4 linked regions of the Struthio camelus genome follow. The protein of the gene in region 2 interacts with the protein of the main gene of each other region in a pairwise test. Links are inferred from orthologs where the notes say so. Each region holds a gene or a part of one and is shown on either strand. Other genes may lie near its edges.

Evidence for each region.
Region 1: the proteins of PDE6D (region 2) and RND1 interact in a two-hybrid assay, tested with the Homo sapiens proteins (2 studies listed by BioGRID). The link is inferred for Struthio camelus from reciprocal best matches to the Homo sapiens genes PDE6D and RND1.
Region 3: the proteins of PDE6D (region 2) and HRAS interact in a two-hybrid assay, tested with the Homo sapiens proteins (2 studies listed by BioGRID). The link is inferred for Struthio camelus from reciprocal best matches to the Homo sapiens genes PDE6D and HRAS.
Region 4: the proteins of PDE6D (region 2) and RAP1A interact in a two-hybrid assay, tested with the Homo sapiens proteins (2 studies listed by BioGRID). The link is inferred for Struthio camelus from reciprocal best matches to the Homo sapiens genes PDE6D and RAP1A.

Annotation. Positions count from the first base shown.
Region 1 is NC_090969.1:1,008,269-1,015,366, reverse strand, and holds the start of RND1 (rho-related GTP-binding protein Rho6), read right to left. Parts: upstream 3,006-7,098; 5' UTR 2,960-3,005; coding exon 2,840-2,959; intron 2,757-2,839; coding exon 2,669-2,756; intron 1,051-2,668; coding exon 941-1,050; intron 814-940; coding exon 679-813; intron 577-678; coding exon 331-576; 3' UTR 1-330. Other genes in the region: CCDC65 (dynein regulatory complex subunit 2), read left to right, coding at 4,267-4,404, 4,505-4,672, 4,752-4,921, 5,086-5,224, 5,471-5,668, 5,748-5,966, 6,071-6,223, 6,392-6,685. UniProt on the Homo sapiens protein: Lacks intrinsic GTPase activity. Has a low affinity for GDP, and constitutively binds GTP. Controls rearrangements of the actin cytoskeleton. Induces the Rac-dependent neuritic process formation in part by disruption of the cortical actin filaments.
Region 2 is NC_090950.1:21,896,451-21,904,407, reverse strand, and holds the start of PDE6D (retinal rod rhodopsin-sensitive cGMP 3',5'-cyclic phosphodiesterase subunit delta), read left to right. Parts: upstream 1-4,943; 5' UTR 4,944-4,957; coding exon 4,958-5,102; intron 5,103-7,957. Other genes in the region: COPS7B (COP9 signalosome complex subunit 7b), read right to left, coding at 1-27. UniProt on the Homo sapiens protein: Promotes the release of prenylated target proteins from cellular membranes. Modulates the activity of prenylated or palmitoylated Ras family members by regulating their subcellular location.
Region 3 is NC_090946.1:15,871,043-15,878,668, forward strand, and holds the start of HRAS (GTPase HRas), read right to left. Parts: upstream 3,006-7,626; 5' UTR 2,864-3,005; intron 2,744-2,863; exon of another isoform or gene 2,655-2,743; intron 2,366-2,654; coding exon of another isoform or gene 2,232-2,365; exon of another isoform or gene 1,897-2,231; intron 1,675-1,896; exon of another isoform or gene 1,165-1,674; intron 680-1,164; exon of another isoform or gene 614-679; coding exon of another isoform or gene 303-613; exon of another isoform or gene 1-302. Other genes in the region: LRRC56 (leucine-rich repeat-containing protein 56), read left to right, coding at 303-613, 2,232-2,365, 5,336-5,454. UniProt on the Homo sapiens protein: Involved in the activation of Ras protein signal transduction. Ras proteins bind GDP/GTP and possess intrinsic GTPase activity.
Region 4 is NC_090965.1:8,961,110-8,968,503, reverse strand, and holds the start of RAP1A (ras-related protein Rap-1A), read right to left. Parts: upstream 3,006-7,394; 5' UTR 2,871-3,005; intron 2,777-2,870; 5' UTR 2,568-2,776; intron 2,159-2,567; exon of another isoform or gene 2,026-2,158; intron 1,891-2,025; exon of another isoform or gene 1,607-1,890; intron 1,133-1,606; exon of another isoform or gene 915-1,132; intron 854-914; exon of another isoform or gene 771-853; intron 1-770. UniProt on the Homo sapiens protein: Counteracts the mitogenic function of Ras, at least partly because it can interact with Ras GAPs and RAF in a competitive manner. Together with ITGB1BP1, regulates KRIT1 localization to microtubules and membranes.

The sequences.
Region 1 (7,098 bases), on a different chromosome or scaffold from region 2:
TGAGGGATGGGGCAGAGCCAGACACCAACTGGGCATTCAAAGAAAAAGGATGAGTCCGTGGATGAGTCCTGCCAGCTCCGGGGGCTCAGGAGCAGCCACTGAGCAAGGTCCCCTCTGCGCCGGGGGTCCCCCAGGTCCCCCCACCCCATGGCATCACAGCAGGGGCTGCCCCCCAGCCCCAGGGGCCAGGACGTGCGCGCTGTCTGGGGGGAAGCGGTGTGATGTGGGGGGCCGCCGGCATCCTCCCCGCGGGGCACCACGCCGCAGCCCCCACTGCCCCGGTGCGGGGGCCTCGGGGGGCCAGGGCCATGCTGTCCTGGTCTCCCCCCTTCACATGACGGAGCAGCTTTTTGCCTTCTCCTTCTTGAAGGCGGAGGAGATGAGCTCGGAGCGGCTGGGCAGGTGCAGGAGCCGCTTGGAGAGGCTGCGCGCGGGGCTCTTGGGCAGCTGCGGGCTGGGTCTGCTGAGGCAGATGCCGGACACGGTCCGGAAGATGCTGTGCACGCTCTTCTCCGACGTGAAGGCCGAGCACTCCAGGTAGCTCTCTGCTCCCAGCTGCTTGGCCGCAGCGCAGCCCTGTGACCCAAAGCCACGTCAGACTGAGGCAGTAACTGACTTGCTGCCCCCAAACTGGCCCCCTCAGCACCCTGATTTTGGGTCCCAGCCCATCCCCAGCACCTGCTCGTAGGAGATGGGCGCCTGCTTCTGATGGGAGAGCTCCATGAGGGTGCTCAGGTCCGTCCGCAGGTCCGTCTTGCAGCCGATGAGCAGCACCCGGGTGTTGGGGCAGTAGTCCAGGATCTCCGTCTTCCACTGCACACACAAACCCACAGTCAGCTGGGCACCCTGGGGTCCCCAAACCCGATCCCAATGCAGGGGCTTTCCTGGGAAAATGGTCCCCACGACCGTGCACGGAGGGATGGGGCTGAGCACCCCTCACCTTCTTGGATGCGCTGTCCAGGGTCTCAGGGCGGCTGATGTCGAAGCAGAGCAGCACGGCATCCGAATCGCTGTAGCAGAGGGGACGCACGTTGTCATAGTAGGGAGAGCCTGGGAGAAGGGGGGGGAGTCACCACGCTGCACCCCGCAATGGCCGAGGGGCTGCTGCCCCCCAGGCAGCAGGGAGCTTGCAAAGGAGGGGGAGCAGCTCCAGAGCACCCTAAAACACTGCCTTGCCTCGTTAACACACCCATCTTCACTAATGAGGCAGCAGGAAATGGTTCCTGGGGAGTTTATATAACCGCAAACCCTCCCCCACAAGAAGGGAGCCCTGCCAGCAACAGGGGTGTCAGGGACCAGCCGGGGCACCCGGTGAGGGGGTGGCAGGGCACCAGGCCACCCCCATGGGGCATGCCCCATCACCAGCACCGCAGAGGGACACTGCGAGGGAGCCCCCCCTGCAGGCATGGGGGTGAGGCAGGGCACCCCCTCCATGCTGCCCCCCCCGACCCCAGCGTGTCCTCCGAGGGGTTTTGCAGCCCAGACGCTCCGTGCGCGGAATAGCAAAGAGGCTGCGCCAGCACATCGCCATGGCAACATGGGGACCGCAGGTGGCGGGGACCCCCTGCCGATGGGGGGGACACTGCAGCAGCGGGGCAAGGCTGCCCCAGCCCCCCCCCCCCCCCCCCCCAGGATGGGGCAATGGCAGGACTCCTCCATTTGCAGAGGCCCCCATGCAGCCCTAAGGGGGGCTAGGAACACAGAGGGGCTTGCACTGGTGCTGGGCTCCTGCCCAAAAAAGGGGTGCTGAGCCCATACCTGCCCCCAATGCATCACCCCCACCCCACAGAGCCCTGTCCCCTCCTGCACCCAGGGGACCAGGCCCCCCCCACTCCCCAGCCTCAAGGATCCAGGCCCCCACCCTGAGCCAGCCCCGGCTATGCACCCCCACTGCAGCCCCCTCAAACCAGGTCAGAGCCCCCCACCGTGCCCCACTGCAGGCTCCCCCCGTGCTGCAGCCCCCCCATAGCCCAGGCATCACACCCCCCCCACCACTGCAGTGCCCCATTGCAGGGCTCCACCATGCTCCCCCACAGGTCCCCGATACCAGCCTCCCGCAATACTGAGCGCGCAGCTCCCCCAGAGCATGCCGCACCCCCCCCGCTGCATGCCCCCACCTCTCGGTACCGGAAGGGCATTCTCCCCCCCAACTCCTCCCCGGGAATGTCCCCACTTCCCCCAGTACCAGACAGGCACCCCCCTTTCCCATGCATTCCTTCCCAGTACCGGAGGTGCAACCCCCCCACCCCGGTACCGGAGGGGCATCCCCCCTCATTCCCCATGCATGCTCCCCCCGGTACCGGAGGGGCATCCCCCCTCATTCCCCATGCATGCTCCCCCCGGTACCGGAGGGGCATCCCCCCTCATTCCCCATGCATGCTCCCCCCGGTACCGGAGGGGCATCCCCCCTCATTCCCCATGCATGCTCCCCCCGGTACCGGAGGGGCATCCCCCCTCATTCCCCATGCATGCTCCCCCCGGTACCGGAGGGGCATCCCCCCTCATTCCCCATGCATGCTCCCCCCGGTACCGGAGGGGCATCCCCCCTCATTCCCCATGCATGCTCCCCCCGGTACCGGAGGGGCATCCCCCCTCATTCCCCATGCATGCTCCCCCCGGTACCGGAGGGGCATCCCCCCTCATTCCCCATGCATGCTCCCCCCGGTACCGGAGGTGTCCCAGAGGCTCAGCTCCACGCGCTGCTCCTCGCTGGCCAGGCACGCCGTGTAGTTCTCAAACACGGTGGGCACGTACGTCTGCAACGGCACCGACAGCGTCAGCGCCCGGTGCCGCCGCCGGCCCGAGCCCCGCTACCGGCGGCGGCCGCGGCGCGCCTCACCTCGGGATAGCAGTCCTTGGCCAGCACCTGGAGCATGGCCGTCTTGCCGCACTGCACGTCGCCCACCAGCACCAGCTTGCAGCGGGCCGGGGCGGGCGGCGGCGGCCTCCGCTCCCTCATGGCGGCGGCCCGAGCGCAACCCTCCCCCGCCCGGCGCCCACCCGCCAGCCCTGCGCGCCCGCGCCGCAGCGCCCTTATATAGCGCCGCCGCCGCCACGCCCCGCCCACGGCGGCGCCCGCCCACCAATCGCGGCGGGGGCGCTCGGCGCCGCGGCCAATGGCGAAGGGGCGAGGGGGGGGCCGCCCCGCCTCCCTCGCCGTCGCTGCCCGGGGAGGGGGCGCACCTGGGGCAGGTAGCGGCGGAGCGGGGCCGGTTTCGGGGCAGGACGGGGCCGGACAGGCCGGGACGGGGCTGCGGGAGCAGGGGCAGCAGCGGCGGGACGGTTTCGGGGCGGCGGCGGGGCCGGTTTCCGGGCAGCGGCGGGAGCCCTCCGGGCCAGGGGGCGCCTCTCTGCCTGCGGGGGGGCCTCTCGGCGGCCGGAAGTGCGGCCCGCTCGCTTCCGCCCCGAGCCGGAAGTGGCCGTTGCTAGGTGACCGGTGGGACGCGAGCCGCCGGGCCGGGTGCTGCTTGGCCCGGGGTTGGGGGGGGGGGGAGACGTGAGAGGTACCGGGGGGGGAATCGGGGGGCGGGAGATGGGGCAGGGGAGCGGGGGGACACCCCCGGGGAGGGGGGCAGGGGGGCACCCCCGGGGAGGGGGGACACCCCGAAGGAGGGGGGGGGAGACACCCCATGGGGGAAGGGGTGAGTGGGGCAGGGGGGACACCCCGGGGGGGGACACCTCATGGGGGAGGGGGTGAGTGGGGCAGGGGGGCACCCCCGGGGAGGGGGGACACCCCGAAGGAGGGGGGGGAGACACCCCATGGGGGAAGGGGTGAGTGGGGCAGGGGGGACACCCCGGGGGGGGACACCTCATGGGGGAGGGGGTGAGTGGGGCAGGGGGGACACCCCCGGGGAAGGGGGACACCCCGAAGGAGGGGGGGGACCACCCCATGGGGGAAGGGGTGAGTGGGGCAGGGGGGACACCCCCGGGGGGAGACACCTCATGGAGGAGAGGGGACACCCAAAGACGGAGGGAGGACACTCCATGGGGGAGGGGGTGAGTGGGGCAGAGGGGACACCCCGGGGGGGGACACCCCATGGAAGAAAGGGGACACCCCAAAGAAAGAGGGGGGGACACCTGATGGGGGAGGGGTGAGTGGGGCAGGGGGGACACCCAAGAGGGAGCACTGTGGGAGATGGGGGGCACCCCACAGGGAAGGGGATGGGGGGCTGGGAGCAGAGGGAGGGGGCCTGGGGGCACCCTGGTGTGGAGGTGACCGGGACCCCGGTTGCCCCCACACACACTTTGCCCCACAGCCCCGCCGCCATGCCGAAGAAGCGGCGCCGGCGGGCTGCGGCCGCCCGCACGACGGAGGAGAACCGGCTCCTGCTGCTGCAGCGCCAAGCCCTGGCCGAGGAGGAGGAGGCCAAGAAGAAGGGGGAGATGCTCAACCAGTTCCTGAAGGTGCCTGGGGGCCTGTGATGCGTTTCCCTGCGTGCCGGCCGGCTCTGTCCCCCGTGGGACACGTCCCCACTGCCCCTTGACCCCACGGCCCCCCACACAGGACAAGCTGGCCAAGGAGGAGCACAGCAGCGCCTTGAACCTCGACAAGATCAACACGCAGTGGCTCGCAGTGCTGCGGGTGACCAAGGCCAAGGAGCTGCGCACAGATGTCGAGATCCTGAGCCAGACCTTCGCGCGGGTGATGGACTGCAAGGACAGCGTCATCAAAGTGAGCGCGGGGCTGCCGGGGTGGGAGGGCAGGGCTGCGCAGAGCCCCCTGCCTGACCCTCCCTCCCTCCCTCCTGCAGTCCCTGGCCAGAGACCTGTTTGAGGCAGAGGCGCAGCACGCCCAGGCCCTCTCCAGCCACCTGCACAACATTGACCGCCTGCTGCAGCTCCAGCGCTGCCGCCTGCGCTACCTGGAGGAGGATTATAACACGGAGCTGGAGGCTCTCAAGGAGGAGTTTGAGACGGAGAGGTATCGAGGAGAGGGAGAGAGGGATCTGGGTGCAGTGGTGGCACCCGCTGGCTGTCCTGCCGGGACGCTGTGTCCCTGGTGGGGAGCCCTTTCGTAACGCTGGAGAGGGGACCCCCTGGCCTGCCCTGGCCCTGTGCTCCGCAGCTCCCCGACATTTCCCCCAGGAGAGCAATCCTGGAGCAGCACAAGCAAGAATGCTGCTACCTACAGGACGTGATGCTGGCCGTGGAGCAGAACTTCGTTGAGAACAACTACGAGGCCACGCTGAATTTCCAGAGCGCCTGGGATGACATCAAGAACAAGGCAAGGGTGGGGGACAGGGCAGGTCTCGATGAGGAACTGGCCAGGCTCTTTAGCACACTCTTTAGCAGCTGACTCTGGTGAGGAGCACTTTAGGTTTCGGGGCATGAGCAGAGCACAGTGAGGGCTGGTGGAGCCTCAGCCGCAGTGGAGGCAAGAGGGACCTGCTTCGCTTGGAGCATGGTGGTCACAGCCTGGGGAGGAGGGGAAGGGCTGGTGGGACACCCCCTCCAATGTCTCCCCCCCCAGCAACTGGAAGAGAAGCAGTACAGCCGCTTGCACCTGAGCAACAAGGTGGAGGCCCTCTGGAAGCAGTTCCAGCAGGTCCTGCACAGCTACACAGAGGCCACAGAGGACCGGAAGATTGCCTTTGAAGTGCTCAAGCAGAAGGACAAGAAGAGCTCCAAGGAGATAGAGATGCAGACGAAGAAGCTGCAGAAACTCCAGGTTGTGGCTGCAGAAACTCATGGCACAGGCGCAGCCCCGAGACCCCCCATCCTGTCGCTAACGCTTCATGTGCCCCCAGGACTCCATCGCGGCCATAAAGGGCAGGATCGCGGCTCACCTCCAGGAGAGCGAGGAGCAGAACCGGTGCGTGCGGGAGGAGAAGGAGGTCATCCTCAGGCAGCTCCAGGAGCTCAAGAAGGAGATGAACCAGGCCAGGGCCAAGGCCCGCAGCAGCCTGGTCAAGCTCACCACACAGAGCAGCGCTGCCCTGAAGGTGCTGATGCACGTCGTGGAGAAGGTGAGGCCTGCAGGCTGCGTGCTGCCTGCCCTGGGGCAGGACCGGGCTATCCCGGGCCACCCACCCGTCCCCTCCCTACCTGCCCTCTCCGGTGTCCCCTGCAGGCAGAGCGCGTCCTGCGACTGGGTGAGATGTGCCGTAAGCTGGAGACGGAGGAGGAGAAGGTGCTGCCGTTCTACCCTTCCTCGCTGGCTGAGGGGGAGCAGCAGGACGCGGAGCAAGTCCTCAAGGAGACACCTGCAGAGCCTCTGGCCCAGGTGAGGACGCAGCGCTGGGGTCCCAAGCTGGCTAGGCACTGCCATGTGGGAGGGAGGGACAGGGGAGAGCCTTGGGGACAGCCAGTGCTGGCCTGGCTCGTGCGCACGTGCCTGTGTGCAGGGGTGGGTTTGGGCCCTCCGGCCTCCTCATCCCTCCCTCCTGCGCAGGCCATGCAGGACTACGTGGGGCTGGAGCGCTTCTGGCAGCGGTTCAACAAGGCAAAGCTGGAGGAGCTGGCGCTGGTGCAGGAGAAGGCAGCTCTGAGCCACAGGAACCAGCGCCTGCGGGAGCTGCTCAAGCAGTACCTGGAGGGGATCTCCGTGAGTGAGGAGGTGCTCAGCAAGCCCAACCCACTCCTCACCCTCCAGCACAGGAGCTGCAGCCCCAGGGCCTTGCCCCGCGCCGGGGGGCCCGTGCACAACGTCATCGAGGCAGCACACGTGGTGTCACGCACCCTGTGAGCTTCCTGGGGGAGGACGCGTGGCCGGGTCGGCCCCAGCCCCAGCCAGAGCTGCGATCGTCTCGCGGCCTGGGGCACCCAGCTGAGCCTGATGCTCAGAGAGAGCACGGGAACCTGCCTGGAGCTGCCATTAAAGAGCTTGACTGTGCCCTGGATGTGCTATGGGTCTTATTTCTGGTCACACACAGCTCCGTTGGGCAGGCTCAGTCTAGGTCTGACTCTTCAAACCCTTGGCCATGCTAAACCCCCCCTGCCAGGACCAGACAGGGTGCTCCAGGCCTTTGGTGGGAGCCGACAGCATCCAGCGAGGGAGAAGAGCAGCCCAGGGCCCCCTTCCCTCTGCTCTCGGTTTCCTACCAGGCCTTTGCCCGGACAGGAGCTTGCACCCCGTCCCCCACGCAGCCAACGGCCCCA
Region 2 (7,957 bases):
GGGAAGCAGAAAGCAGGCTGGAGGCATCTTCTTGTCTGCAATGACAGCTCAGAAACTGTGACACCTGCCAACTCCACGTGCTCCAGAGATAGGAAAAAAGGTGAAGTTTTCAGCACAAAGTTGGTACAAAGGGATGCTGAGACTTGGAACAACTGTCTTGCAAGTGGATCAGAAAGCTGATGTGCTAAAGGGTGTTATTTGTGTTAATGCAGCCAAAGGATGTTGAGAGGAGGGAGATCCCAGGGTTTCTGTCACTGCCTGAGTTATCGTGTCACATGTTTCACTGTTGCTCATACCCGGAGCAGTCACAAGACATCAACACTTCAGCCATTACCTCTTTTGTGACTTTTGGGAGCTCAAATGTGAGAGATGCAGAGACTGCCTCTACCTCACCTCAGAGACTCACCTCAAGGTGAATTTGAGAACTCTGGGATTTGATCAGAAAACTCAAAGGCCCCAACTCTAAATTCTGGAAAGTCTCCTGCCCCTGTGCTCATCTCCCCTCGAGGCTCCCCTACTAATTACATATAACAGAGATCTCACGACAACTCAACGTAAGCCCTACACAGCCAGAGAAACCTTTAATGCTGCAGGAGCTCCTAGCTGTGACATCCATTTTTTGGGTGGCTCTTTCCTCTCTCTGCAGCCTGAACAGAGGCGGGATTGAGCTCCTTATGTCTTCCATAATCCAGCAGGTCCTACTTCCACCTGACAGACTCTTCACGTATACCCGACCATTTGCTTTTTGCCTTCTTCACCTCTGCTTTTTTCCTTGCTCACCTTTTATGCCTACCAGTCTTGTCTCCTCAGTGAGCTTTATTCCCCATTCCTTAGATAGGGCGTGTAATTGCACGTTATCTCAAAGCCAGGAAGGACTCTTAATAAAAGATAGATATATATTAGCATAGTGTGCCCCTGGCTTGCTGCCCAGATTCAAAATGATCTGTTCATACACTTTTAAACTGATGGTGTGGAACTGAACACGGATCACATACATCAGGGAAATAAATGCTACCTATTTTTATTATTAAGATCACTTACTGGTTATACTGGAAGTGGCCTTGTCTTTAATGCATTAATTGTGACCTTTATGAATGTTCATGTTCTCCTCATTTGTACAGTGGCTGATTTTGAGGCAAGCAGAGCCATGAAAATATTGATGGCACAGTGATTATTAGCTGGTACTGTTCTGAGGTACTTTGAGGAGGACCAGATTACAACTGCTGCGTTTATTTTCCTCAGGGCTTATTAATGCTTTGTATTAGCTGTGCTTGGACTGTTAACGGAGGAGTTAATTTGTCGTGCTCATATTAAAGAATAGCCTGGCTCCTAGGATGCGCTGATTAGCCAGAGACTTTCCCCTAGAATCTACTTTATTACACAAAGGCCAAATTTCTGTAGTACAAAGAAGGCCACTTTTGTTCCAGAGAAACATAACTATTCATTTCAAACTTTCCCCATAATGCTGGTCCTTTTAGCTCCAGCCTTGGTACATGCAGAAGAGTAGTTACTCTGCATATAAGAACAGAGGCAGCGAGAACAGCAACATAATGCGAACAGTGAAGCCTGCAAAACTACAAACTTAATCCTTCACTTGAGCTCAATTTAACTTCTGTCAAACAATTTGAGGGACGAACTTGCTGCAAGATCTACCCGTCTTACGAAGAGAAACGCTAACAGAGCTCGATTAGCTCGGGCGTAGTCCCAGCAGTATTTGCACTATTGCCAGCGTACGTCTCCCAGGCAAGGCCCGAACTGTGAGGAGCCGCATCGCGTGAACGCTAACACGAATGGCTGTGCAGGTGTGCGACCCTCTGCCAAAACACGAGGCTGAGGCCTCTTCCAGTACAGAAACAGAAACAGGACACAGTGTTCTCCAAGCTGAGGCCCTGGCAGCCCCTAGGTGAAAGGGGTATACTTGGATCGAGTTTCTTCTCAAGCAGGACAACTTCTCTCTCTTCCAAAGCTCTTTGTCTGGACCTCACTCTTCCTCAAAAAGCCTACGGACTGAGGAACGCTCAGTCCCTGAGTTTTCAAACACACAGCAGCCTCTGCAGCCTAACCGGACGTTCAACAAAATCAGAGACGGCTTTCTGTTAGTGTTGAGCCCCATCCCTTCCAGCCCCACTCCCTGCTGCTTTGTCCTTAGCTATGGGACAGGTCACGGCTTCCCTAGCAGCCGGACCCGCGTTCCCACAGGGATTTTCCAGCCCTGGGACGGTTGCTCTCGCCTTCGAGCCCACCATCCCTCTTTGGGCGAAGGGCAGACGCCCCCGCCCGCCTCACCGCCCGCTGCGGCCTGCCCCCAGCGCATGCCCCTCCTGCCCCTCCGCCGGCGCGACGGAGCGGGGCGCCGCTGGGCGAGCAGGCCCCTGAGCCCCGCCTGCGAGCCCGGGACACGGGCCGGCCCCGCCGGCAGGGGCGCGGCCCGCCGCCGCCAGAGGGCGCCCCGCCCGCCGCCGCCGCCGTTTGGCGCCCCCCGGCGGCCGCCGCTAGCAGCTGCGGAGCGGAGCCGGCTGGAAAAGGTTTGTCCTGCGGCGACTCCCGTCCCCCGGCGACGTCAGGCTTGGCAGGGGCGTACGCCTTAACGACCGCTGCGCAGCCGCCCTTGAATGGTGGGAGGCGGGGCGGAGAGGCGGAGGCAAAGCGGGCACGCCGTCTGATTGGTCATCCGCGCCGTCCTTCCCCTCCAGTAGGCGGGGCGCCGGCGCGCCGCTCCCTGCTCATTGGCGGCGGCTGGGAGCCGGGGGGGTGGGGCGGCGCCAGGCCGCTGGGGTTGGTTGCGCTGGCCAGTGGCGGGTGCGAGGGAGTGCGGGGGGGGAGGGGTGGGGGGGGTCCTGAGGCGCCGCTGTCACCGCCGCCTTCCCGCCCAGGCCCGCGGAGCCAGGCGAGCCCGGCGCAGCCCCGTCCGCCCGCGGCGCGGCGCGGCAGGACCATGTCGGCCACGGACGAGCGGGCCAAGGAGATCCTCAGGGGCTTCAAGCTGTATCCGCCCGACGGGGGCCGCGGGGCGGGCGGGCGGGCCCAATCTGCCCCGGCCGGGATTGGGGGGGGGGGGGGGAGGGAGGGTGGCCAGTGCGGGGATCGCCGTCTCCGAGGGCGGGGGCGAGCGGTTGTCATGGAGACCGCCACCACCTCCCCCCCCCGCCGGCTAGGCTGTTCCCAGTGTCGTCCTCCCCTCCCTCGCGGCCCCCCCCCCCCCCGGGAGCGGGGAAGGGCGGGGGGGTCCCCTCCTCCCGGGAGCAGGCTACGCCCAATGGGGAGGGCTGGGGGCACCCTCAGCCCCACCGCGGGGTCCTGGCTGGGCTCCCCCCCCCTCTTCGGGACCGGTCTGGCGGGGGGATCCCGGTCAGGAGGCCGGAGCTGTCCACCGGGCGGCTGCTGACGGGCGGCGCCGGAGCAGCGGGAGCCCCCCGAGCTCGCAGAGGGCAGGTGAGGAGCCGGGAGCCCGGCGCGCTCCGTCCCGGGAGGATCCGCTCCCTCCCCTTCGGCCGTCCTCCTGGCGCGCCCCTCGAGAGCCGCAGCTGCTTAGGCACCTCTGCGCCGAAGGAAATATCTGCTCTCCAAGTGCAGCAGCAGCAGCAAAGTGTCTCGGTCCTTTTCTTGCTGTGAGGTACTGGCACGTGTTTTGTTGGTTGTAAGGTGTCTTTTGTTGCTGATGCTAACATATTATAGGTGCTAATGCCTTTCTGTGCAATTCATTCTGCAGCTTTAGCACTGTAGCTCTCAAAAAGCTTCTCTGTTTTACATCTGAGTGTATTATGTGAATACAGATACAATCCTGAGCAAATGAGACAGATCTGAGCTAGGAAGAAAAATGAGACCCTGTACACACCCTTCCAACCCACAATTTCAGTACAGGAAGGCTCAATCCAAAGGCCCATATGCAAACCAAGAGTGGGAGAAATATGCCCTACTTATAAAATGAAGTAACTTCATTTTATTATAGCAGGTTCTAAGTTTAGAAGACAGATGCAAGCTTCCCAGCTTGACCTTAAGACACAGGGTGAAATCACTTTTTTTTTTTTAAATACTGAAAAAGGATAGAAGTTCCCTCTTGATCTAATACTGTTATTTCTGAACAGCTTTTTGTCAGTAATATGTTTGCGATCTGTATGCCATCTGTAGCAGGATCCGAGATGCTCTAGGTTGGATTTAGCCAAATAGCTACTATTGAACTATAAGCAGATGCTTCTCAACTTTTGAATCACTGTCCCCTCCCCCAACCTTTTAGTAGTGCAGCTGGTTGCTTTGCTTCTAAAGTAACAATGTTGACAATTCTTTTTATTCATGAAGTTGTAATACCTAGTCAAAAATAGTTGAACAGCCTTATGTACAGGCAATTAGCAAAAGCATAAGCTTCTGACAAGACCAGGCTAACATGTTGGTAGAAACGAAAAGTGTTTGGAAAGTTAACCTTAGGGAACAAACTTTTAACTACTTTTCATGTGCATTTGTATATGGTCTTCACTGGAGAGAAAAATTTATGAGGACATTTGTCCAGCTTTGGATGAAATAACTCATTTAGTAGTTTGTTGGCTTAAATACAGAATGTTTTTTTCACCTTGAGAGGTGTGTAACAGAAGGTAAACTTCCGTTATCTCAAGCAGCTATAGTGTAGGCAAAAACATTTAGTAGAAGTACTCTGCACTTCCAGGTTGAAGAACCTCAAGTTCACTCTTCCCTTACATGGTCACTGAAATCGATAGTATTACCTGTGACAACCAAATGACAGGACATTTTTAGGCAGTAAAAGACTTGACCATGCCTCTCTGAGAACATGCTAGAGTATTATGATAGCTCAGCTTACTGTCTGCCATATAGTCCAGACAGCATAAAACCTTTAAGTCCAAGGAGCAAGAAAGCTTTTTCTCAAAAAAAATTTATAATTGGAACTTTGCATAAGTAAAAACAGTCAAAAAACAGTCTCAGTGTGTATTTAGTAAACCAGAAGTAAATGCGGCTGGACAGACATTCCTCATTTGTAAGAGAAAAAGCCTTGAGACGCTGCACCGTCCACACAGGAAACTACTCATGCCCAGATCTGACCGTGCTCACTGTAAGACAGCCATCAGCTCAGACTTCTATTTCCTTTTCTATGGGTGAGTATATGTTCTAAAGAACATTACATTTTAAATAAATGTAATATTTTTCTGCCCAGTCTACTGCTATATCTGCTATTTTAATTTCCTTAATAGAACAGAAGAGATGAACACATCCTGAAAAGCTGTACATTTATCTTTGGAGTACTTAAACTTCCTCCTCCTGTCCCAGGAAGGAGGAGTTAACTCCAACTTAAGCAAACCCTGCAAACTTGGCACCTGAAGCTGTGCTTGCTTTAGCACAAGAAACTAGCACAGTGGTACCGAGGGTATGGACATACTAGATGCCTTGTGTAGTTAGATCAATTGATAGGGTAGGTGGTATCATTGAGGAAGTAGATCTCTGAATTGCTTGCTTACTTTAACACAGAACAAGCACTTCACCTGGAAATTCAGCTCACATTGAGTTGTTAAAGTTTGCCTCAAGCAAGTTCAGTTTGTAGTTCTGGTTCCCCAGAAGAGGCTGAATACAAACTTTCCAACTGATTGAGACACACTGCTGTGGAAATTAGTTCGTAGCCCTGATCCACTCTCTGGCTTCAGTACACAGATATTCTTTCCTTCCTCTATGACACTAGTGCAGAAACATGTTGTGGCTAGTGTCCTCAAATTCAAACCAGGAACATTTACTCCCTTTTCTCAGATTTTGCTATTTCCTGAAAAGATGAAAACTAGAAGTATTTGAAGTTTGCAGGCCAATGAGGATATTATACTTGTCCTAAGAATTTTTAGGGCACCAGTTAGCACGCTGTCTGTTCAATTTGTAAGTTTAAAAGATGAAAAGCCACTAGTCAGCAACTTTTATAGCTTGTCATTTCTTGAAGACTGCATTTGTTAACAAAACTTACAGCACGTTCATGAATTTCCCGTTTTGAAGGCACTCTTCTGAGCAGCAGTGCTTATACTTGGGGGGAAAAAAACCATTAATATCTACAGGTAGCCTTGTGTTATGTGAACGCAAACTAGTTGGTTGACTATAGGCACTGTCAGTTCACATGGTAACTTAAAGCATCCTCCTCTGGAATATTGGGTGAGTTTTCATTTCTGCAAGTATTTAATGCACAATTGGTCTGCAGTCTCAAATGCAGGAGGTTTGACTATGCTTGTTTCCAGAAGATGAGACAGTTACTCTGTCAAACTAAAGACTAGAATGTTATTTGGCCCACGCTTATCTTTTCAACATATTCTTCAGGTTTCATTCTGCCATTTTATCTTTACAATTACTGTGTACCATTAAATGTATGTTTAACATCCTTTTTCATAGAGGAATAGCACTGAAAGTGTTTCCCCATAACAGTCAAAACCTGGCATTGAAGAGTTACTTTTCAATGGCTTTTTTTTTGTTTTAACTCCCTTGGTAATTTGTGGGTTGCCTTTATAGCTTTGTTCAAATATAAAGTAGCAGAAAACTGTTTATTGTGCTGTGTTCACTAGTATAAGGACATTGTAGGCAACTGTTCTATTTAACCCAGTTTGCCAGCATTTGGAAAGCATATGTGCTTTGCTTTCTTAAAGTATCCATGGTGTAGATTAGAAATATCTGACCATGGGCTGCAACAGCCCATTCACATCCAGCTCTTGAGGGACCACAGTTCTGGTTATGTTCTTCCAGTAATGTTTCTGCCAGAACAATAAGAAAACCCTGAACAAGCCAAGAGCTAAAAAGCTCCCCAAGTTTCATAGTATAGTTAAGGTGCTAAGCCTAACCTTCCAAGACATGAGTAAGCATATCCAGTTTTCAGTTCTAAATCTTAAAATTCCAAGTATCAGCTATTGTACTGGCTTCTGTACAGAAAAGCCTCATCAGAACTGGACCTCAGAGTTAGTTGCTGTATAGACATTTATTAGTTCAGAGTAAAGTTGTGTGCGAATTTCTATTTGAGGCTATACAGCCTATCCTACTGTACTCATTCAGAAGTCTCCTAAAAACAAATTGATATGCTGAACTTAAGCACAAAGAGACAGCATTCAGGTGAGAATTGTGATGGAGTTGTGAAACTAATATTTGTCGTCAGTATAAGCCCATAGCTGTAGCTCATACACTCTGCAGCATTTGTAGGCAGAGCTTTTCATACATGTCAAAGGGTTTCCTACTTCTGAAAAATCCCTGAAGTTGCCTGTATGACATCCTCCTGTCTCCCAGTGCTTCCTCCAATTCTCTTGCCATTATTTCTGTCTAGGAAGTGAATCTAGTACAATAACCTGTTAAGCTCTGTCCATCCTCCCAAGAGCTGTAGTAAGGGTTAGCTATATCAGAAACCATGAACAGCTTCCTTGAACCTTATATTGCTTTGCAAACAATGAGAGTTCTCCTTCCACAGCTTCTACCCTGCCTCTGCCATATACACACAAAAAAAAACTAGCCAATGGAAGTCTTGCCTATCAGTTCCTAGAACAGTCCCCAAAGTTTTGGGCTGCTTCTTGTAGCATTCAGTTGTCAAATCCAAAAGTTCTGTCAAGTTGAGTCTCCAGCCTATTTTTATTAGGTCAGTAGATCTTTAACTGCTTAAGTAAAAATGCTCATTTATTGCCTTATTTGCAAGGCAAGTTGGCAGCTTTAATTGCCCTTTAAAACACTTTGTTCTGAGGTTTTCTGTGCACTTGTCCTCAGATCTTGGTTTAAGACTTCCTGCAGTTAAATAATGATGAATCACTGGTTTCATTGGTTAAAAGGAGGCACTAGCCAGCTAATAGAGGGATCAGGGCTCCTTAGAAGGTGGGAAATGTACTCTGTAGAGAGCCAAAGCTGTGTTAACTTAACTAGCTTGCACCAATACAATTCAAGAAAAACCTCTAGAAAACAGCAAGTGAGTTTGTGCTCCCCACTCATGTTTTTCATTTCTGAAAAACAACAA
Region 3 (7,626 bases), on a different chromosome or scaffold from region 2:
TTAAAACTGGTTCTTACTTGAACCTGTAAAATTTACCCATGTACACCAAACTGGGATGATGAACCCTTAGTAGGGGCTTGTATCTTAAAGATCTCCCTAGGAGTAACTTTCATGGTGAGCAGGCTCAAGGGAAAAAAAAACATTAGGTCATTTAAACAGTCAAGCTATTCCTAATATGTGCTATATAGTACTTGTGCTTCTAGCTGTTCTAAGCATTTCTCCAGTCACTCCAGAGTTTGACAGTCCTCTCTGATTCCTAATCAGCTTCCTTTTGTCTACAGGCAAGCCCCGTTGCTTCCCGAATGCTCACGGCAATTAAAAAACATATCCCTGCCCAGGATCCATATGGGCCGAGGGAGCTGCCAGAAGACCCCTGCGCCTGCTTGGGGCGAAGAGGTAGCACGGCCGGGGCCCCTCCCAATGCCCTTGTGCAGCAGGCAGGGTGGAGGCAGCCTCAGCGCGCCGCAGAGCCCCGGCGGCAAACCTCCCTCAGCAGCAAGGGAGGTGCTGACGGCTCCGCAGAGCTCCCACACGGGGCCTGGCTGGGTGGCACCTACCTGCACCTGCGTGCTGCGCCTCACCCCCACCCTGAGCTGGGTGATGCCTTGTGCTGGTGTGTGTCGGGGATGACAAGCGCTGCTGAGGCTGGCGAGTTGTGGGGGTTTTTTCTTTCCTTTTCTGGGGGGGGGGGGGGAAGACATCACAGAGGTGGAGGGATGCAGGGGCTGAGGAGAGCCACAGCGTGCAGGGAGTGTGGCTTTGGGGGGGGGATGCAGAGCAAGGCGGCTTGCCCCCCCCCCCCCCCCCCCCCCCCGCGGCCGCGCAGACAGCAGAGTCATGGCGCGGCCGGGCGAGCAGGTGGATCTGCGCCGCTCCTCCGTGTCCCCCGAGCCGCGGCGGGGCCCTCTTACCCCCTCCCCAAAAACCACAACGGGGGGGGGGCCAGCCCCACTGACGGGGGTGGGGGGACACGACAAACTTCCCGGCGTGCGCGCGACTGGGGGGGGGGGGCCGCCGCCCCGCTAACAGGTGGCCGCGCCCCACCCTCCTCTTTAACGGCCGCCGCCCCTCCCCCCTCCCAACGGCTGCGGCCCTCGCGCCCCCTCCCTTAACGGCTGCGCCCGTTCCCCCCCCCCCCCCAACCGGCGGCGGCGGGTCACTCACCGGCTCGCACGCCCCGCCAGGCGGGAGGCACCTCCTGGAAGGGGCGGGAGGGGGGGGAGGAGGAGGAGAGGCGGAAGTTTAAAGGAGAATAGTATGCTTTTTCTTGCAAAATAAAAAATAAAAACAAACAAACAAAAAAAAAACAAAAACCCCTCCTCTCAGGCTAAAAACCGCGCCGCCCCCCCCCCTTCCCCTCCCTCAGCCGCCGGGGGCTCCCGCCCCGCTCAGCCGTGCGTCGGCCCGGCGGCGAGGTGAAGTTTCCACCGCGGTGGTGGAGGCGCCCCCGGCGTGGCCGCGCCCGCCCCGCATTGGCACCGGGCGCCGGGGCGCTTTGCCGCCGCCGCCGCCGCCGCTACCGCCGCCCGGACAATGTGCGAGCCGGGGCGGGGGTTTGGGGAGGGGGGGGGGGCAGAGCGAGCAGCGGGAGCGGCCGCGGGAGCGCGCCCCGCCGGCCGCCCGCCCGCCCGCCGCACACGCCCAGGCTCAGGCGCCGCGCCTCGCCCCGCCCACACGGCCGCCTCTGATAGGCGGGCGCCCGCCGCCGCCGCCCTTCCCCGTGGGCTGAGCCGCCCGTCAATCACGCGCCGGGGCCCGCCCCCCTCCCCCGACCCCGCCCCTCGGTCTGGTGGGGCGGCGGCTGCTGCCGGGCCTCCCGGGGGCGTCGGTGTCGTCCCAAAAAAGGGCGGGGGGGGGGGTTAGGGGAGCTGCGAGGCCGGCGGCTCCCCCGTGGGTAGAGCTGGAGGGAGCTGCCTTTGCGCTGCTGTCCGGCAAACGGCTGGGGTGGGGGGGTTTTGGGGGGGGGGGCGGGTTGGGAAGGGTAAAGGGGGGTTTGTCGTGTCTGCGTTGTCCGGTGGGTGAAGCTGTAGGGGCTGAATCCCGCGGGATTCAGGCGGTTCTTGCCTGGCCTCACGGGAAACAGCCAGAAAAACAACCAACCAAACAAAAAAAAAATCCGAATTATCTGCAGGCGGTTTAAGCCAGCCCGCGAAAGCAAAGGCAGCTGGGGCGCGATGAGGCTCCGTAGCCGAAACAAGGCACCACCTGAACCCACTCATCCTGGTTGACAGGCAGACCTCGGCCCCCCGGGGCGAGCGGCCCTGTCGTCGGGGCCTCTCCGGGTCCCCCCCCCCCAACTCGGAGCAGGAGCTAAATCCGGGCTCGCAAAACCCTCCGCCGACCCGAGCTGCTTCTGCCGATTCAGGTACGCCGGGGCCCAGCGCGCCTCCGCTCTCGGGCGTTTTACTACCGCGAGGCACTGCGGTTACTCTAGAAAAGGGGATATTGGGTGGCGTAGACCCCCCCCCCCCCCCCCGGCCGGTCATCTAGGAGCGGGCGCGAGGGAGCTTTGAGGCAGGACAGCAGAGCGTGTCCCCCTGGTCGCGGGGAAAGGGGCGTTTGCTCTAACGTACCCTTCCAGCGCGCCACCACCCTATGGTATTTCCCTTAAAAAAACAACAACAACAACAACAACAAAAAAGGTAGCTGAGAACCTGAAAACGGGGTTAGAAACGGTTGATCTAGGCACCCCGGTTTGACACGGGTAGCGAAAAGGAAGCTGGCGCCCTGCAGAACTCGTAGCTGGAGCGCTGCGTAGATGAAGCAAGTTGCAAGGACGGACGGACGGACGGACGCCCGCCGAGGGTGGCGCGGGTTTCGTTCAAGGCGCGTCCGAAGCCACGGGCCGAGGCTTTTAACCTACCTCGGAAACGCTCGCTCGCTTCTAAAACGCTCTCCTGATCCTGAGCAACCCCTCGGCTCTCCGCAAAAGCAGGGACCGCGGCTGGCAGAAGCGCAGCATCTCTCCTGAGCGCGCCGACAGCGGGAGCAGCAGCAGCAAACACAAAGGTGATGGGTTTCTTCGCAGGCACACGCACGTACGCGCAGCGCACCGCCTCTCTGCACTACCTGTCTCGTCTTGTCTTATCCGTTTCTGGTGAGCAGGCAGGGTACTGGAGCATACAGAAATCCTGCTTTTTGAAGCACCCTGGAAGCGGGCTCAGTACGTTTTTTCAATGCCTAGGTGGCCCAGAAGAGCTGATCAGCGAGCAAAAAACAAATAGGTGGTAGGTAGCAGACACAGGTATGGGCAAACCTTAGTTTCCTGCTTCGCCCTGACCTACGAGTACCAAGAAAACAGAAGGTGGGACTGAAACTGCCTCTTGCTTGTTCTTTGGTGCCAGATCGTAGCAGGACATAAGATACCTGAGGACTGTTTTTTGTTTGCAGTCTGCTGCAAGACAGAGGCATAATCATCTATTGGTGAGTCATGACCACGCTATCACATAGGGATGATGACACAAACTTGTGAGGGCAGAGTAATATAGCTTAAAAATGTCTCTCTCGCTCTCTCTCTCTCTCTTTTTTTTTTTTAATAAAAAGCAAAACATTGGGATGAGATCCTCAGTTGTTGCAAAGCAGCATAGCTCCATTGCTTTCGGCAAAGCTGGGCTGATTCATGCTTGCTGAGGATATGGTCTGTTTCGTTTGCAAAAAGTCATCCTGCCTGGCCGGACCCTTCCTTTCTCCAAACTTGAATTTAACGCTAGTAAAACGTCCTGGCCTATGTGAGGCCTCTGGAAGGCAGAGCCCTCTTATTCAAGCACAGGACATGCAATGCCGCTGTAACAGCAGTACAAATGCCACCACCGCAAACCGCTGGTAACTCCTCCTGTGGTGTCTCCGACTGGACCATCACCAAACTCTTCCAGCGGCCAGTGCGGTTCGTTGCCCTATGGCAAACGTCAAAGCAGGCAAAGAGAAACATGCAGCTCTCGAGGAAACCCTGCCGTGACACTAACTGTTGCAAGCCTTGCTTGACGGGAGGAAGGGAAGGCTGGTCGTAAATTGGGTCTGCTGACACTTAGAGCAATGAAGAGGAAATGGGGAGAATCTCAGGGGGTCCTGACTTCCACGGTAAAAGTGCCAAAACGGAACTTGCTGTGGGGTTAGAGAGCTGCTGAGGCTTGCTCTGTCATCCTGATGCCTGCAGGTTTTCCTGACTGTCATCAGCCTGCAAACCGGAGCCCATAACTCACGGCCGTGCTTAGCCCATCTAATGTCAGTAGGGCTTTTTGTAACAGTACTCCAAATCGAGTCCTGGGAAGGTATGTCGCCGAGTCTTGCAAGCGCTCTGACCCCCAAAAATAGTTGCTTAGCGTTGCTATTCCCCTTTAACCTCGGCAAGAAGGGAGTCATAGACAACAGGTGAGCTCAGCTTTCCACCGTGTGATGCACAAACTTGTGCCAAGAGCTCATTTAGCACTGGATCTTCCTATTCGGCTGTAGATCAAGGCTATCCCAAAAGTTTTTTTAAAGGATAATCTTTTCTTAGAGTTATTTCTGGTAGAAACACCCTGGTGACAGCCAAGCTGAGCTATTTTGCCTATTCCGCCGTGCCGCCCCCCCACCCCCCCCCCGTGAATATTTCTTCTTGCTGCCATCAATATCACCAGCAAAGTAAATAACAGTAATTTTTTAAATATACAAGGGGTTTGAATACATCCAGATTTTCCTCTCAAGCCTGCCATTTTGCACCAAGAGAAACACTGGTGTAATTAACTCAGATAAGCTGAATTTATGCCAGCGTAAATGAGACCAGTCACGGTGACATAAGGATGTACGTTCCTGGCCAGCCTTGGGCTGCCATCTGTCTCTTCTCCCGGCCAGCCCTTCAGCGCTGCTGCCTGTCCTCTGGGCCGGTTCCACACACAATTTGTGATGCAGAACAAGCCCAATTTGTCATCTCTGCCTGCTCCGTTGGCCTCACCCCACCCCGAAGGGTCTATCAATTCTCAGCAGACACCCAGGGGAGGGTAGTGCTGTTAGTTGCCTTTTTTGTTGTTGTTGTTTTGGAGTGTCTGCTTGTGTCTTCTGTTCCTTTGAGGTATGGGCGATTACACCTAACTTTGTGTAATTTTGCAGACTGCTTCTTTCCATGGTTTTGAGTTCTCCCTACACTCAGCTAGTCCATTTTTGTGGATTTTTTGTTTCTTCTGTGTAACTGAAACTTTCTTGGAGTGTTTGGAAGGGAGACCGTATCTGTATGCTCTTCTAAATATTGTCTCTGGGAGCATATTGAGAGCAGCAGAGATTCTGGGGTGATCTTTGCTTTCCTGCCATACCAAACTCTTTATGATTTATTTGTTTATTTGTTTATTTATTTCTCCTGCAGAAACACCAGACTCGGTAATCCTGCAAGCACTTCTGCCATTCTGGCATGTTTCTCTTGCCCATCTCTGTCCAGAGCTTAGAGGGTCAGTAATATCATGGCAGAAAGCGAATGGATATGAGGTAAAGTTTGAAAGTTTTTTGAGTTTTGCAGAGAATGCAAATTGTTTCCTTTTTGTATGTAACAATGTAGCACCAGTAACTTGCCATGGCAACCAGCTTATGAAAGGGGGGAAAGAAAAAGATCATCGCAAGGTGCTTGGTTGCTATAGCAAGGAAAAAAGCTGAGACCTTATCCTTTTTGTTCACTGGTGGACTGTGCATCATCTAGGTAGCAGAACTTGTCAGAAGAAGTTTGTAGTGCAAGTTAGCAGCCTTGCCAGCCTCTCTGATACTTGGATCAAAACCGAAGTGCAGTCAGGAGGAAAGAAGGAAATAGTCAGAAGAATTGGAACAGGACTGGATTTTCAGAAATGCAAGGCCAAATCCATTTCCGCACTAAGCTGATGCAACTCTACAGATGCCAGTAAGGGATAAACCTGTTTCTACTGAAATGAATTTGGCTCACAGTCTCCAAAAGCCTCTGTTTTGGGTTCTTTTCACTTTTTTTTTTTCTAAAAGGGAAAGGTGTCTTCTGCAGATCTGGGAGCATTTTGGAGTTAGCTTGGGCAGAGGATGGAGTAGGCTCGAAGGCTCCTTCTTCAAACCCATCCTAAGGATGCTTCTGGGAAGGGCAGGCCCGTTGATGTACAACTTATTTATGGAGAGAGCTGAGACCTGACAAAGGGAACTGGTTAAGGACGGAGAGGGGAAACCTTAAGAGCTGTCACTGTGGGAGGAGATGAAAATGGAGTTTTAGCTGAGGGAGGATGATTTAGAAAACTGTTATGTATGTGAGTAGTCGGAGAAGCCAATGGACCTCTCCTGTGCTTAAGGTAGGCACGTTTGTAAATCTTGTGGGGGGATAGGAGCTACCTGAAGTGTTTGTTCTGTGCCTAAGCTGGATGGGTTGCTTTCTGGGGAATACCTTTGAAAAGTGAAAGAAAGAAATTAAAGTTTCTTAATCCCTAGGCTATTGATATGAGCTACAAGTAGCACTGCTCCAATTGGGTGATGGAATGAAGTGTATGCTCCTCCTCTTTATTTAAAAAACATTCCCTCCCAGTTCAAGTTTAGGCTGCTGGTAAAGTAGTAAGGTGGTCAAGCTTGCGAAACGGTAGCCAGCCCTCCGAGTAGCCTAGGGGCTTAGCTGAATTTACAGATAAAACTATTGAGACTAGTGGACAGTCCTTTTCCAACTTCCTGGTGAGGCTGTAGAGAAAATATTGCTAGATCACAAGACCCAGCAATAGCACTACTTGGAAAGCAGCCTTGGAGAGAGGATTTCAATGTAACTGATAAATCTATATGGAGATGCAGGGCTATAGTTTACTCCTGACAATGAATTGCTATACTGTAAATGACTGACTATAAAGACACTGTGGGGAAAATCTGAGTCTTCTGCAGCACACGGAAAGCCCTAGATAAAGGAAAGTCATTGATTTAAAAGAGAAAAATACAAGCAAGAACCATTTAACACTGTAATTTAACCCAGTCTGCTGGAGAGCCTTCCTAAAGTCTATGAGCTAATCCTTCCTGCAGATTGCACCAAAAAAGACATGGCCACAAGCGACATCACAAACGTGAAATTCTGCAAGCAGGGTCATCCCGCAGGGCGGGTTTCTCAGAGGTACCTCAGGCTTGGAAGCAGCGGTCCAATTGAGAGACCACATGGAAAGGAGGGGGGTGGGGGGGGAGGAAAAGTAAGACCAGTCCAGTATTTTAGGACATCATCAGCAAAAGACACTGAACGGAACTAGAGATATTTCCTGTACTAGTCAATTAACAGGATAAAACCCTGAATTAATTAACCCTGAATCATTTGACAAAACCTTCCTCATATCATCTCCATCAAAACGCCACGTTGCTGCAGATGACCCAACCAGAGCATAGAGCCACTTTGTTTCTAATCTCCAAAATACTGGCATTGAAATTGGATTAAATTCTACTAAATACAGTACTCAAAAGCCCCTTTAAACTAAACCAAATGAAAACATCCCAGAACATTCTGGGTAGGCATAGCAAAGTGACTGGTTTGGAGAGTTATCTGATCCCGGACGGGATCCCTCCTGTCATGTATTTCCTTTTTGACAGAAACAAAGAATTCGGGCAGCGCCTTGCCAGGTGCCTGACCCAAGCACCACTAGTGTTAGAAATAGGAAGGATTCCTATTGACTACAGTGGATTCTGCTAACA
Region 4 (7,394 bases), on a different chromosome or scaffold from region 2:
ACTGCTTTTATTTCATTTGAAACTTCAGAATTATAACTCTTGGTCTCCTAATACCATTTGGGCCTACTAAATGCCATCAAAGTTTTTTTTTCTTTTTTGCACTGTACATAGTTACTAACTTTGTAACGGACATAGGAAATACCTGCTTTTAAGATGTGTAACTCACTTTTCTGTGGATGATCTTAGTTTAACTGAACACAAATATTCCTCTTGTCCTGGTGCATGATCAGTAGAAAATACTACGCATGAAAATAGATTATTTTTAGAATCAGAATATGGGAGCACTGTAATTCACTTCCGGTCACCTCCACCTTAAAGAACTACATACATGTTCTCATTTTGACTTCTAAAGCTAGGATTTCACGACTTCTGCTATCCAATGCAACAGAGAGAATGAAGTGACAAGCTGCTGAGAATCAGAAACGGTAACTCCCTAGCTTATAATTTAGCACTGAAAATTTTTGTTGAGATATGTTGTCAGTCTTCAGGCAATCGCGTCAATAAATTGATGGCATTTTCTCCTACCACAACTGTGGTAGGAGAACCTTAACTATTTTTATTTATAACACTGATCTTTTCCATAGCAACAGGATATGAACACGGCATTCCCAGCGTAATGAAGTCACTATAGCAACACGATAATGATGTCAGAATAATCAGAAAGTTTTTCCTACTTCAGCCATGGTGAACTACACTACTTCTCAAAATTAAAAACGTTGCAGATATCACAAAGGCAAGGGTGCTCCACGCCAAACTTCCCTCTAAATTACCTCACTTCTGCTAGCTTCTTACGAAAGGTTCAGACCTTGAGTAGCAATGCGGCATTTTCAACTTCACGAGGGCTCGACTCATTACTGCCTAGAGGTTTCAGGAATTCCACATTAAATAGCTTTCGGTGAGAATTAACGACATACCGTTTCATTAAGAAAGAACAACAACTCCTCATCAAAACCGTGAAGAGCTTCGCAGTAAGGACTGCGACTCTCAGTTAACAGCGTGTTTCCTCGGTTTAACCGTTCAAAGGATGCGGTGCCCCTTTTCGCTTTGCATGCTACTGCTACGCACGCCAAACCAAAAAAAAGCAACCGCAACAGAAAAGGCGTCGGGGTATCATAACCCTCCGCAGGCGACGGGCCTCTGCAAATGGAAAAAGCAACTATTCCAGGAAATATCGTCTCCCTTAGCGAGTTATTGGGGGGGGGGGGGGGACACAGAGTTTTCATGATTTGTCCTTTTTGTGGGCAGCTCTTTCCAAGTTGTGACCAAAGCAAACCCCCCCCCCCAAAGTCCCTTCCTCAGCTCTGTCAGCCAGCACCAACTTCTGGCCGCCTCCAAAATCCCAACCCGCCGGCTGACAAGGCGGCAGAGCAGCCTTCCAACCCAAAACACCGCTCCGGCAGTTAAAATAACGCCAGCAAAGACGGTGTCTACACAGAAAAACATCCCCTGGACAGAAAAACAGAAACAAGAAGCCGTTTCCGAGCTGGAAGCGGTCTGGGAGGCCGCGACGACCTGCTCCTCGCCGCTGCCGGCGGCCCGTGTCCCAAAAGCCCCTTGCCAAAACTTAAACCGCGGTGCCCCCCCCCCAAAACGGGCCCTTCCGGACCTGCCTCCGCCCCGGCTTTGCCTCACGCGTGGGGACGGCGAGGGCCGAGCAGCGAGAAGGCTCCCGAAACGCAGCGCGGAGCCCGGCCGCGGCGGCCTCGCCCCGAGCGCCGCTCTCGGGCTTCCCTCACGCCGCCCTCGGCGTCCCCTCGGCTCCCCGGGGGGGGGGGGGGGGGGGGCACAGCGGACTGGGCGCAAAACACCGCGGTTTGGGCTGCTTCCCGAGCGGAGCGGCCGCCGGGGCGACTCCCCGGCCAGGCCGCCTCTCACTGCCCCCGCGGCGACGCCCGCCGCCCCGCGCCCCCCCCCCCCCGCCGCCGCCGCCCCGCCACAAGATGGATGTCAGCCCGGCCCGGCCCGCCGTGACAGCCCGGCGCCGGCCCTGCCGCCAGCCGCAGCCCCCGCTGCCGCCCCGCTCACCCGGGCCGCTCCGCTCCGCCTCGGCGCTCGGGGCTGCTGCGCGCGGCGGGGGCAGCGCGCCCGCTCCGCCCTCAGCGGCAGCGGCCTAGCGAGGAGCCGGCGGGGCCCGGGCGGGGCGGGGCCGCCCGTGACGGGGCGCCGCCATGACACCGCCCCCCGCCCCCCCCCCCCCCCCCCGCAGCAGCGGCGGCCGGAGCCGCGCTGAGGTAACGCGGCGGCGGCGGCCGGAGCTGCCGCGCGGCTCGGCGGGCTGGCGGCGCTCCCGGTAGGCGGCCGAGGCCGGTAACGCGGCCGGGAGCGTTTCTTGCCCTTCATCGGGGCACAGCGGCGCGTCCCGTCCGCACGGGGAGGGAGCCGGGCCGCTGGTGCCTGGCGGGAGACCCCCCCCCCCCCCCGGGACGGAGCTTCCCCCCTTTTCGTCGTGTTTTCAGTCGCCAAAACGCACCTTGAGACGCGGCATTTATTAGCTACGTACTTATTTTTAAAAAACAAACTGATAAATAAAGCCTTAACAACCCCATAGGATCAAAGTAAAAATATACCTAACAGGAGACCTGCAGCCGAGGAGAACCGAAGACGAAGGGAGGAAAGAGGAAACCGCGCGTCTCCGCGTTGTCCTTGTGTCACTCCGCGTTTGGGGGCGACGGCAGCCGTTGGTGCAGCGTCGGGGCCGACCGAGCGGCGTCTCCTCGCCTGCGATCGGGGGGACTCCTGCCCTGGCTCTAGCGTGAACAACCCGGCTGTCAACCACCTAGTCAAGAAAAGCCAACATCAGCACTTAAATTTCTACAAAACAGAAGTTTGTGCTAATTAAAAAAAAAGAAAAAAAAATCATGTAAACGCGCCATAAGAGCTGCGGTCGTTTCCGTGATTTGAACGCATGGTGCTCGGTGAGTATGGCTTAAAACGCAGAGGGATACTCCATCCGTCCGCAAGCACGGCGTCTGCCCACTGCGTAACCCGGGGACACAACGAGGGCTGCAGCCACCGCCTCCGGACGAGCTCAAGGTTAGGCGGGGGACAAAGGACTCCGAGCTGTTGCGAGAGGTAACGGCAAAGCTCCTGCAGCAGCTGCAAGAGGCTAAAACAGGAGAATTTGCTGTGCTCCTTCCCAAAGACTCTCTTCATTACGTTGCTCTTGTTCAGACTTGCTGGCAGCTTGAGTATAAAACATTTTTTGCATTCACATTGCCTTTCATCCAAAGGGGAAAAAGCTAAGTATTATTTGTATTAATAAGAAATATTATTTCCTTCACAGATGGGGAAACAGAGACAGATTAAATGACTTATCCAAAACGCCTAGCAAGTCAGTGGCCAAGAGATGAGTACAACTAAGAATCCCAGCTCTCATCCTCTACTCTAATCAGAGAAAATAGCACTCCCGCTGTGCTTGTGAGTGCAGGAGAGATCTACAGTGCAGAAGAATTTTGCTTCCAGGTATAAATCATGGATGCTGATATTGATCTGTAAATCCCAGTTCTTTATGGCTCAGGTCCTAGCAGGGTATTTCTTTCCCTGGGGACCACCATGCTGGAAGAAAGCAAGTAAATCACTATTTCTTAATTTGTATAGCTGGAGGCAGGTTAGTCTCAGTGGAGGGATTTCCACATTTGCTTTCTCCATTAGGTTTGGCAGAACTCAGACTTGTCAACCTCAGTAGCATTGTTCAAAATCCCTCCTTTTGCAGGGAGGCATTTTATGTGGATGGATCACATGCCTTTAAGGATACCTAAAGCTGATTGCTGAACATCTTTGGTTGCTTCAGAATTGCAGTTTTATTGTTGACTCTAAACTTAGGCAGCAAATGACTGGCTGTATATTGTTAAAATTAAGAGGCTGTATCCAGAAAACATGCAAAGACAAAAAAAATCAGTAGTAACTGATTCAAAAAAAAATCAGTTTTGAAACTGTAAGTCAATAGTTGTGAAAGCTGCAAGTCAATAAAAATTCACTCCTGTGGATAGGAGTTGCATGAGAAGATCCTGCTTACATCCTTAAGGGGCTTAATATACTTGAAGGTATATAAGCATTCTGCCAGGCTTTATCAGAAGAGTACATTTTGCTTGCAGGTTTCCTTTAAAACTAAAGGTTTAATAAAACTTTGTCTCAAATATCAATGCATCTACAGCATCCAGACACACTCAGCGCCTGATTCAGCAAAATAAAGGACCTACTTAATGCCTGTTCTAGGACAGTTGATTCCCCCCGCCCCTCCTCCAGTTTTCTACAGATTTAGATGCAAGCTGAAAACATTTATCACTTAATCAGACTTTGCACGTACATGAAATTAGATCTGGATGAATGTGAACCTTGGCTATGAAGTAATGCATTAAAAAGGAAGGCAAAGGATGAAGAAAGATCCAAGTTCAACTGCAGTCAGTGGGAATTTTCCTACCAGTTTCTGCAGGGAATAGATCTGGATCTTCATTTCTTATAGCCCTGCATGCCACCTTTTTCCATTAACAGAACAGATACGGCTCCCATAGACAGACTTATATAGACGGGGCCTAATTCTATATGCTATGAATTCATGTATAGTTAGTGCTATGAATGTGCCTGATTCACAGTGCTATGTTACTGCACTTCTCCTGTGTAATGGTGCTTGCTCTTTAGCAAAGAAATTGAAACTGTCAACTCAGTGTTATTAAGTCTTGCATCTACACTTTCCACACCTTGCCTCTCCTTCAGTGTGTTTTCTAAACAAGAAAAAATACTATCATTTCAGGAGATATCACTGACCACCAGGTCTGGTAACTGGCCACCTCTTGCCAAGTGTCAGGAATAGCTTAAACTAGACTTGAACTAGTGAAACAGAAAGGAGATTCTCCAGGATCTGTATGTTTCTACATTACTACTGATGTCATCGCTTACGTCTGCTTAAAGTGGGTAAGAAGTGCTAACATCCCAAAACAGTGGATTTCTACTCCACACAGCCTCAGCAACACCACAAGGAAAAAAAGCAAAGAATTAAGCCCTCTATATCCTGTCATCTACAGGGTACAACTCTTTATATATTGAGCACAAAAAGATCCTTAACATTGCAGTTTTATAAAAAAATTGCAAATTATCTTGACCTTTCTACTCTTTTAAAAAAAATGTTGATGCATAACATATCTTTTCTGAAGTCCCTGCTCTAAATCCATTGATATCATTAAATTATACCAGTGCTTCACTTTTTGTGTTATGTGGCCGCAGTGAAAGACTGGGTAGAAAACATGGTTATTCCCAGCAACTGCAATAGGATTGACATTCTTTGCCTGGATGTGCTGCTGAGTTCTAGGGGTTATACCGAGGTTCATATAGACAGATGAAAATGAGTCATAATCCCTCAGGACACTTTTTTCCAAAATAACAATTGCCCAATTGGATAAATTATCACAAGTTCAGCTGATGCAAATAGCTAGCTAATACCCATTTGCTCATTTAATGAAATCCAGAAACAATGTGCAATCTCATAATGAGCCTGGATTCCTAGCTGATAGAATCACAAGACTAGAGAACAGAAGTCAGCTCAGTAAAACACATCAACAGTACGTTTAAATGCAAGTGTATTTGACACTGTGCAGACTCATAATACATTGCTGTTATTAAATGCAAAGGTGCTGACTTCATAAGGATCATGTTCTGATTGACTGAACTTTGTAAACCGCACAAAACAGGAATTTGTCCTTTCCAAACACTGTGTGATAATGAAGAAAGGATAGTCATGAAAGAATCAGAAAAATATTCATTACAAAAGCTCAACATGAGCTTTTGAAGTGGAAACATAATATTTTCTTTACAGTTTAGATTACAATGTATCATCAGGAATAATGACAATTGTAATATTAACAGTGCATGCCAACAACTACTGGCACTGTAACGACAGTAATTTCTTTCACTGATAACGTGGATACAGGGGTCACTGAGCATGCGCTTTGTCTCACGTCACCAGGCCGTGCAACATCATGATGCAATGCTCTAGAGGATGCAGCGTCCCTGCCAGGGTTCAGACCACGAAGGACAGCTTAAAACATACCAGCGTTCGACAAATTCTGTGGAGGCAGGTGAGCTCCAAAGCTGTGAGCCTATTATCAGAGCAGATAGGCAGGACCAAACAGGCTCCTCTGCTGAAAAAAAATCATTCATCCTCAGGTTGCCGCAAACCCATTTTTTCTGTGCCTGCTGTCAGGCTGGGTGAAGCTACTGGATAATTATCCAGATACGCTGGAAGGTGTGGAAATTGGGGAGGGAAGGCTGGACCCAAGGCAATGCTCTGTTTAAGGTCTAACTGGCTTCCTAAGGTAAGACCTGGGCTAGCTCTGGAGGTCAGAGTTAGAGCCCAGAAGAGCAAGCACTTCTCTCTGCCACTGTCTTCTCCTGACTCAGCTGATATCATTGAAGTTTCCTGAAAACACAGGAAAGGCTAAATCCCAAGTGGTTGCTGCAGATGCTGAAGTACTTCCAGGTTTCAGCCTCAACAAAGACTGTCTTCACCTATGAGCACAGAGATTACAGAACAGATGAGGAGGCAGGAATGGGATTCCCTTTATCAGAAGTACAAAAGATCCTGGGCCTTCTTCCTCTGTGACTTTTACTGATCTCTCTGAAAGGGAGATAGAGACTTCTTAGGCAGCTTCCTGAATGCTGTCCTAAATTGAAAGCACACCAGAAGTGTCTGGTGTCTGTCTGGTGTTTGTGATAGCACAGAGTAGGGAGAAAGGTAGAGACTGATACTTGTTTCTGTTTCAGTGGTTTTTATAAATATCATAAAAGCCTGAACCTTGCTGGGGAAGGAAGCATTTAAAAAAAAAAAACCACACACACACAATTCCTGCTTCTCAGGTATGTCAGGCAACTGCTTATTATCATACATAGGAGTTCCCATTCTTTAGGCTAATGGCAACATAGCAGGCTGATTTTTCTACAGGCAATTCAAGAATTTACTTGTGCAAAAGTGTAACAGCCTGGCATTTGCTATGAGATCAGGCAGCTGGCAAGGAATTGTCCCCAAGTGAGTTAAAATGAGCCGAGAAGTTAACTTGTGTACCTCTCTCTCACTTTTTAATCACAGGTATTGGTTGCAGAGCTATATTTGAGAGTCTTTCAAGCAATGTTATCCATGCATCTCCCCACTGCACAGCCAGTCTATTCATGGCAGAGATTTTCTTCCAAGCAGTGTGCTATATTTATTTTTTGGTGGGAGAGAGAATTTTTTTCAGAAACTGGGATCACAAAATAGAAGACTCAGTGAACTTGCTTCCCTTGCGCCAGGAACCGTTTGTGAAACATACGGGAGATGTTACCTGTTCTGGGAGGATCTAACCAGCAGTAAATGGTGTTGGAGGTGTCCAACTATGCAGAAAGACAGTACTGAATTGGGCCTCCTG